Tribolium castaneum: one gene and its partner. Each later gene encodes a partner of the first gene's protein in a complex. Links are inferred from orthologs where the notes say so. Each region holds a gene or a part of one and is shown in the gene's direction. Other genes may lie near its edges. The genes, in order: Dis3 and Rrp4.

Region 1 (4,582 bases):
TTGTGGAAAAATTCATAATTCAGTTGGAAACAATAATTACAAGTTATTTATTACAAACAGGAATTTTCCGACGTTTTTATTTGTTTAATATAATTTATGTCACACTTTTAAGGTCTTGTGTATGACAATAAAGGGCTTTTATTTACCTGGAACAACACAGTAACTTAATAACAACGCTTGTAATTCTTCACAGCTACTACACACCACAGCAGATAGGTTTTGTTTAATGAATTCAATTGGCGCTAGTTAAATAAATTACTGTAAATAAAATATGTAACCTTCTACGAGTGTATTATGAGTATTAACTAGCTTATCTTAGGCAATTTTTGAGCTACTTTCTTAGGACGACACGTGATACCTTTCAATTCACTTTTGTAGACATTAAACAATGCACAGGTACGCTTAAGTATCATGTATGCAACATATGGTTACATAAACTTGATCTATGTGTTTTATTGTTTTCTATGAGTTATACGTTAATAATAGTTTTGAAAATAAATGAATAGTAAAGTTCGGCAAATACCTAATCTGTTTGTTTTACGAACAAAGTAATTAGTACGTTATCAAGGCTGTTAAAAATGTGATTGTTTTTTAATTTTTAAGTTTTGCCAAATATCAAGACGATTCGTGATAGATAAATTGTTACAGTTGCGTTCCGAGCTCATCTCAAAGATTCTCCGAACTCATTTACTCAAAAATTAAAACGAATTTCAAAAAATTTGAGACAAAAGTTAGTCTGAGAGGTTTTTACTTTTTTTGTAAAATCCGCAAGTTATTAAACTAATTTTTTAAATCAGTTTGTCAGAAAAACTTTGAATGCTGATCAGACGCTCGTTCGAGTGACTTGAGTTCAAAAAAAAAATAATTTTCTGTTGTTAGGACAGCAAAGCAAAGAAGTTTCTCCACGACCTAAGAATTTACTTTATGATTTTTTTTTTATAAAAAAAAAGAATAATTTTTTGTTAACTAAATTACATGATAAAAATGTGGAAAAACGCCTCGGAAGACTTGTTTCCGGAACGAAACAAATATTTTATAAACTGTGTTTTTAAATATCGTGGTTTTACTTATATGGGAAGCTAAGTACAGTCACCCAAAATGAAAATGATGCGTCTATAAACAACCACCTACCGTGCATTTTTGAATAAGATACTCATTTATTTTACAATATTTGATAAAAAAAAACGTCTAAATCCATAAATCTTTTGACAAAACAACGTCTCAAAATTACAAAATTACAAAATTTTCCAAGCTTTTTGGAATGTATTACCTAAATAAACCGAGCTGAAAATGAAACAAAATTTTTTTTTTATTTTTCTGATTATTTCGTAAAAATTATCAAGAATAAGATAAATATCATAAAATACTTTAATTAATGTTCAAATTTGTTCATTATACAGCAAATTTAATTTCACATTGAAATTTATATTTTGCATCAACCGTGTAAACTATAGATTGCTCCCTCACATTTTGTCTCTAATAAAAGCTTTTATTACTATAATTATTATTATTATTATTATTATTATTATTATTATTATTTATTAATAATTTATTATTTATTTATTAATTAATTAAATTTTCCAAAAAATGAAACCCTCAATTATTTCAAATGATGATAAACGAAATGTCGAATTTCTTAAAACTTGGGCGTTATAGACACGTCATTTTCATTTTGGGTGACTGTACTTATCAATAGCAACTCGTACAGGATGTATAATTTTTCATTTTGCTTCTGCAACTAATTAAGTCGCATGGGGAACACGTTTATTGCATATTTTTAATAAATTAGCATGTTTATATAGCAGTGGGAGTTAGATTTCTTAATAAAACGTTGTGCATGACTAGGTAATATGGTAATGGTCTTTTGTATTCATAATTGCTGGAACAATGTAAGAATTTTTGTTTTGTATTTTTTATAATAAAAAAACAGTTTTTTATATTTCCCGCCTCAGCTGTCAACAAAAACATAACCACAAAAAATATTGTAATATAACCTCCAAATAACTTGTTGCGGCATGTTTTTGTAAAAAAACATTTGAAATAATTAAACAATGTTTACGACTAAAGCTTTTATTAAAAAGAACAAAGTTGGGAATTATCTGAAGGTTAGTATGTGACAATAAACATGGGGGTCCATCTTTTCTAATATTGTAGCACGTTCGAGAACATTATATTCGTGATGACATTTCTTGTGGTCTTCAAGAGTGTGAAACTTGTTTGCCAGTGGAGTCATTCCTGTCCCCAGACCACGAAAACAAATGTTCTTTATTTACTTCTAATCATTATCTAATACTAGACACAAATGTTGTTCTTGATCAGGTATTTTCCGAGTTTATTTTTTATAAAACTAGCATTTAAATTACAAATTTAGATGGATATTTTGGAAGAGTCCGTCATTGGTAATGTGATAATCCTCCACACAGTTTTAAACGAGGTGAAGCACCGAAGTCTACCAATTTACAAACGCTTGTGTGCTGTAATTGAAAATCCGAGTCGTCATTTTTACGTTTTTATAAACGACCACCATCAGTAAAAACATTTTTTCATTATATTGATACAAACCTAAAACATTGCTTCCAGAGGCACTTATTTGCAACAAAACGAAGGTGAATTAATTAATGATTACAATGACAGGTGTATTAGAGCTGCGTGTTCCTGGTACATAAACCATGCCCCTAAACAAAAATTCGTTTTCCTCACTGACGACTCAGCTAATCGGATTAAAGCCCAAAAAGAGGATATACCTTCTTACACCGTCTCGGAATATGTGCAAAATCTCAACACTTCGGGTCTTACCGATAAATTATCGAGGAAAGATTTTCACGGAAATGATTTTACGAAAGACGTTTTTCCCAACCATTTGAGTAATGTTGAGCTTTTGACTGGCATAAGAGAGGGAAAGCTGCTCCAGGGGACTTTCCGAGCCTCTCGAGATAATTTCTTGGAAGGTTTTGTCAATGTGGATTCGTACGAAGAGCCGGTAAGGCAATTTTATAAATACATTATTTTTAATATTGAAACTCGAAGCGAAGCTATTTGTTTTTATTTTCTGTAGGTGATAGTTCAGGGTCGGGCTGGCCTTAACCGCTCAGTGGATGGTGACACTGTAGCTGTTGAGCTTTTGAAAGAGGAGGAATGGGTGTGTCCGAGTGAAATAATCCTAGAGGATGAAGGGGTTGGTGATGAGAGTGTTGACGATGTTGTGACAAAAGAAAACGAGTTACAAAAAGCGACAAAGAAGAAAAGTGGAGCTAAACCTACAGGACGTGTTGTTGGAATTATTCGTAGAAAGTGGAGACAATATTGTGGCATTTTACAAGGGGGCATTGATGGTGTTTATCAGATGTTTGTTCCAGCTGATAAAAGTATACCCAAAATTAAAATAGAAACGAGACAAGCGGAGTTTCTAAGGACTCAGAAATTGATCGTTACGATTGATTCCTGGCCCAAACATTCACGCTATCCTCATGTAAGTGTTATAAGTAAATAAATAATTATTTACTCAAAAAAAATTACCACTAAAGGTAAGCTGAAAATACAATAAATCAAAGACAAACAATGATTATAAAGAAACACTAACAAATAAAATAAAAAAACAACAGTTTACAACTTAGTCTAAGAAAAAATTGGAAGCATGTTAAGAAAGCGTCAATAATAATGTCGTAATAAAATTTATTTATTTTAGAGGTAATTTCCATTCTACTATAATAAGAGTCAACATTTAGAACACTAATATTAAAAGACATTAAAAACTGACTGATTCAGAAATGTTTTTATGGCAAACTATGCAAAAACAGCTGTGATTAGTAAGAAATTTTCTACAATGTCAAAAAAAGTAACATAACTTGAAAATTATCACAGATAGCTATAGGAAATGCTAATACAAATCGATGTAGAAAAAAATTCTCTTCCATTTAATAAAATAAAAATTGGGACATCCCATTTGAAAAAATTAAGTTATGGGCACTTGAAGTTGTTCAAACTTTAAAATTTTTGGGTTTAATAACGTCTTTTCCAATTTTGAATACACTGCAGAACAGATAGAGGCTTTCTCTTTTAATCCTCCAAATATGATTTTGAAATCTCCAAAGCTAAGAGAGTTACCGATTTTTTAAGTGACAGATGCAAATCCAAAAATTTTCAAAAAATCTTAAATATCCTGAAAATGGTTCAACTTAGGTATAGGGAAAGTTGATAAAAATAGCCTTAAAATAATTCCACTAATCCATTTAAAATAAGGAAGTTGCATAAAAAAAAATTACTCAGGAAAAAATTTCTTTTTGCATTAATTTTTTGTAATTTTTTAAATAGGGTCATTTTGTGCGAGCTTTGGGCAACATTGGGGACCAAACCACCGAAAACGAGGTCATTTTGCTGGAACATGACGTCCCTCACAGCCAATTCTCTGAGGAAGTTCTCAATTGTTTGCCCAAAATGCCTTGGATCATAACCGATGATGTAATGTTTATTTTCCTCCCTGATTGTTATTCATTGCGCTTTTAATAGGACGTCAAAAAACGAGTCGATCTCAGACACCTTGACATTTGCTCAGTGGATCCCCCAGGTTGTACCGACATTGACG
Region 2 (3,254 bases), on another chromosome or scaffold:
AAATTATAACCACACAAACTACTCACTGCATTGCAGTGCCATTTTAGCGCGATCAAAAATCACTTTCAAAAACTTCATACAATCCTGGTTTTGATGCGGTTTATAAAAACCAAAAACAGTCAATTTGCGTAAAATCCTCAAAGTCAATAGTGCTTTTTCCAAATTTGTAAGAACTAGTTGCGAAGCTGCGCCTTTCATTACATCATTCATAAATTGTTCGGTGAAATTATTCCATAAATTCAACACAAACGAATAAATATTACTGGAAAACTCTTGGAAAAAACGGCGATCGCCTGTTAACCGTTTCGAAGCAATGGCTTTAACTACATGATGAAGAGTTAAAAATCCTCGATGTTGGACTAGAGAATCAGGACTTTCAATTACTTGTAGTAAAGTCGGAAATAATTCGGGCCACTCTTTCGGACAATCAATTCGTGCAATTTTCGAAATTAAAACCGCTCTTTGTACCGCAATCTGACTAACGGGTTCGTTAAAACTTAAAATTAAACCGTGTTTAATGTTTTGTTTTTCTGCCTCTAAAATAGCGCTAGAAATGGACATTAACTTTAGTTAGGTACATTACAACTTGCGTGACTTACTTTGGTGCGTTTTTTCTCCAATATCGTTCAATACCATTTTTTATATACAAAACTGCAATCCACCGTACGTTTATATCAAGCGAGTGGTTAGATAAAACATTCTGAAGAATGGTGTATTATTTAATTGTGTTTTTTGCCCAATACGTACAAATAAAACTGTGTAAAATCCAGGTTGAGTTTCCCATTCCCGTAATTTGGCTTCAGCCGGTTTTAACACTTCTGGATTTTGACTCGAGGCTCTTTGCAGAACTTCAATTACGATGTCTTGTGTTGATCCCGTATTCATTGTGAATTATAATCATTTCCCCCTTGAGAACCACAATTTATTATAATACACAACAATATACGAATTATTTTCAATAAATTTTAACTTGTGTGTAAGACAAATCGCAAAAGTGAGGTTAGAATAATTTAATTTTGATTTCCTAATACGCCTTACATTATGGTAATAACAAATTTAAAATTTTTTCATTTCAATGTGGAAAAGAAAATTTTGCCTCACCTGACCGGTATTATACAATTATTTTTTCTTAAATAAAATTATCAATTGTCAAAACACATATGACATGTTTCAAATGACATGCACGACTACCACAACAGTCATTAAAAATACCAAAAAACAAAAATTTCCTTTTAATAATTAAATTACACATAAAACCGACAAAATAGAAAATTAAAAACAAGTTTCAATAATAATTCAGATTGATAACAGAGAAGTCACAATTTTATATAGATTGCGTACTTGCGTATTGTTGCTTGCCTAACCCAGTAATTGTTGTTTCTAATCTCAAATGCGGTTCGAGTGTTTTGCAAGAACATGCCGCAAAAAATTCACATACGCCTTGCCGCTCATCGCATCAACCCCTCAATTGCTGTTAACCGTCGAGTTCCAAAGATATTTACTCCGGGACAAGTGATTACGGAGCAAAATGAATTTATGAGGTTAGGTTTGTCTCGTGTTTTTTTTTGAAATTTTGCGATTTTTCTAAATAGAGGGCATGGTACGTACGAAGAAGAGGGTTTTTTAAAATCATCAGTTGCTGGAGTTAAGGAACAAGTAAATAATTTGATTTCGATTCGTCCGTTAAAAAGTCGATATAATGGTGAAGTGGGTGATGTGGTGGTTGGACGAGTCACAGAAGTCCAACAAAAACGCTGGAAAGTTGATACGAATTCGCGTCTGGATTCGGTCTTGTTGTTGTCTTCCGTTAATTTACCAGGAGGGGAACTGGTACATAAAAGATTTTTTTGGTCGTTAATTTTGCAAGTAAGTTGGCAATATTAAATTTCAGCGGCGTAGATCAGCAGAAGACGAGCATATGATGAGACAATATCTTCAAGAGGGCGATCTTATAAGTGCCGAAGTACAGAGCGTTTATTCAGATGGTTCTTTATCTTTACATACTAGAAGTTTGAAATATGGAAAAGTTTGTCTCGTGTTTTTCGTTACGTTTTGATTATACGTTCATTTTTGATTGTAGCTTTCTCAAGGTATTTTAGTTAAAGTCTTTCCCTCGCTCATTAAAAGGAGCAAAACACATTTTCACAATTTCTATGTTGGGGCTAGTATTATTTTGGGCAATAATGGGTTTATTTGGATTTATCCAACTGTTTCAAATGCTGAGGATAACGCTGGTGGCTTTGTGCAAAATTTGGAACAAGTTGTGTCTCACAATAGTTTTGTTGTTTTTTTTTGCTACTGTGGTGTTTTTAGGTCGTTTCAAGGCCAGAAAGAGAAACAATTGGACGTCTTCGAAACTGTATTTTGGCGCTTATTCAAAGTAAAATGATGCTGTACGATACTAGCATTTTGTATGCTTTTGAAGAATCACAGAAATATTCAGTGGCTGAATTATTGATTCCTGAAGCTATGGTCGATGTAGCAATTTTGACTCAGGATAGGTTAAGCATGTTGGAAAATTCATAATAAATAGTTTTTTCTTATAAAAAATGTCTATTATTCGACTTGAGAACGTGTATAAAATAATCGATATAAATAATGTTAGCCTAGTCGAGATATATACAAAAAAGTAAATAAATAAAATAAATAAGTACACGAATTAGACTGTTTACCGTTACAAAATTTGCTCTAGGAACGAGAGTCAGTGCAAATTAGTTTTAATAAGAGATCAAGAAAGTATAACTTTTGCAACGGTAAAATAAAGCTTCCATCACCAAGGCCGCCACCTTCCCGAAAAAAAATCCTTAAAAAATACATATTGCATAATGTAGAGTCGGGGAATTCCCTATTTGATATCTCATCTCGAGTTAACGATATCACAGAACTAACAATGCTGCTCGTCAACTCAACCGAAAGATCAAACTTGATTAAAGCACCAAAGTGTCTCTAAATCTTCAAGCGATGTGTTTCCCGGGATTTAACCACTTCTTCATGTAGTAACAGAACAGCGTACTGATGTAAAGTAGAACTAATAAGGCACAAGTCACACCCAAGGCTAACACTGAAGTCTTGGTGGGGCACGGTTCAATGATCGTTACTGTTTTATCTAGAAACAAATCAATTGAATAAAAACTCGTCCGAAATCCAACACTAATACCTTTACCGAAATCAGCACTCGATTCGCTGCTTTTGAGAAACTGCGATTGTTTCTCATCTCCAAAATCAAGAACTAGGATCTCTTGACTCAAAGTCAT

What was found.
Region 2: Dis3 (region 1) and Rrp4 share a complex: the UniProt entries of both Caenorhabditis elegans proteins name them as parts of the RNA exosome complex. The link is inferred for Tribolium castaneum from reciprocal best matches to the Caenorhabditis elegans genes dis-3 and exos-2.

What each region holds. Positions count from the first base shown.
Region 1 is NC_087394.1:36,186,275-36,190,856, reverse strand, and holds the start of Dis3 (exosome complex exonuclease RRP44), read left to right. Parts: upstream 1-1,573; 5' UTR 1,574-2,051; coding exon 2,052-2,105; intron 2,106-2,154; coding exon 2,155-2,319; intron 2,320-2,371; coding exon 2,372-2,529; intron 2,530-2,580; coding exon 2,581-2,980; intron 2,981-3,055; coding exon 3,056-3,469; intron 3,470-4,311; coding exon 4,312-4,458; intron 4,459-4,506; coding exon 4,507-4,582. UniProt on the Caenorhabditis elegans protein: Putative catalytic component of the RNA exosome complex which has 3'->5' exoribonuclease activity and participates in a multitude of cellular RNA processing and degradation events. Has both 3'-5' exonuclease and endonuclease activities.
Region 2 is NC_087397.1:170,177-173,430, reverse strand, and holds Rrp4 (exosome complex component RRP4), read left to right. Parts: upstream 1-1,335; 5' UTR 1,336-1,416; coding exon 1,417-1,541; intron 1,542-1,592; coding exon 1,593-1,830; intron 1,831-1,891; coding exon 1,892-2,026; intron 2,027-2,080; coding exon 2,081-2,260; intron 2,261-2,313; coding exon 2,314-2,526; 3' UTR 2,527-2,550; downstream 2,551-3,254. Other genes in the region: Impbeta11 (importin-11), read right to left, coding at 27-547, 600-700, 748-885; uncharacterized protein tyn, read right to left, coding at 2,955-3,106, 3,158-3,254. UniProt on the Caenorhabditis elegans protein: Non-catalytic component of the RNA exosome complex which has 3'->5' exoribonuclease activity and participates in a multitude of cellular RNA processing and degradation events. Involved in regulation of antisense ribosomal siRNA production.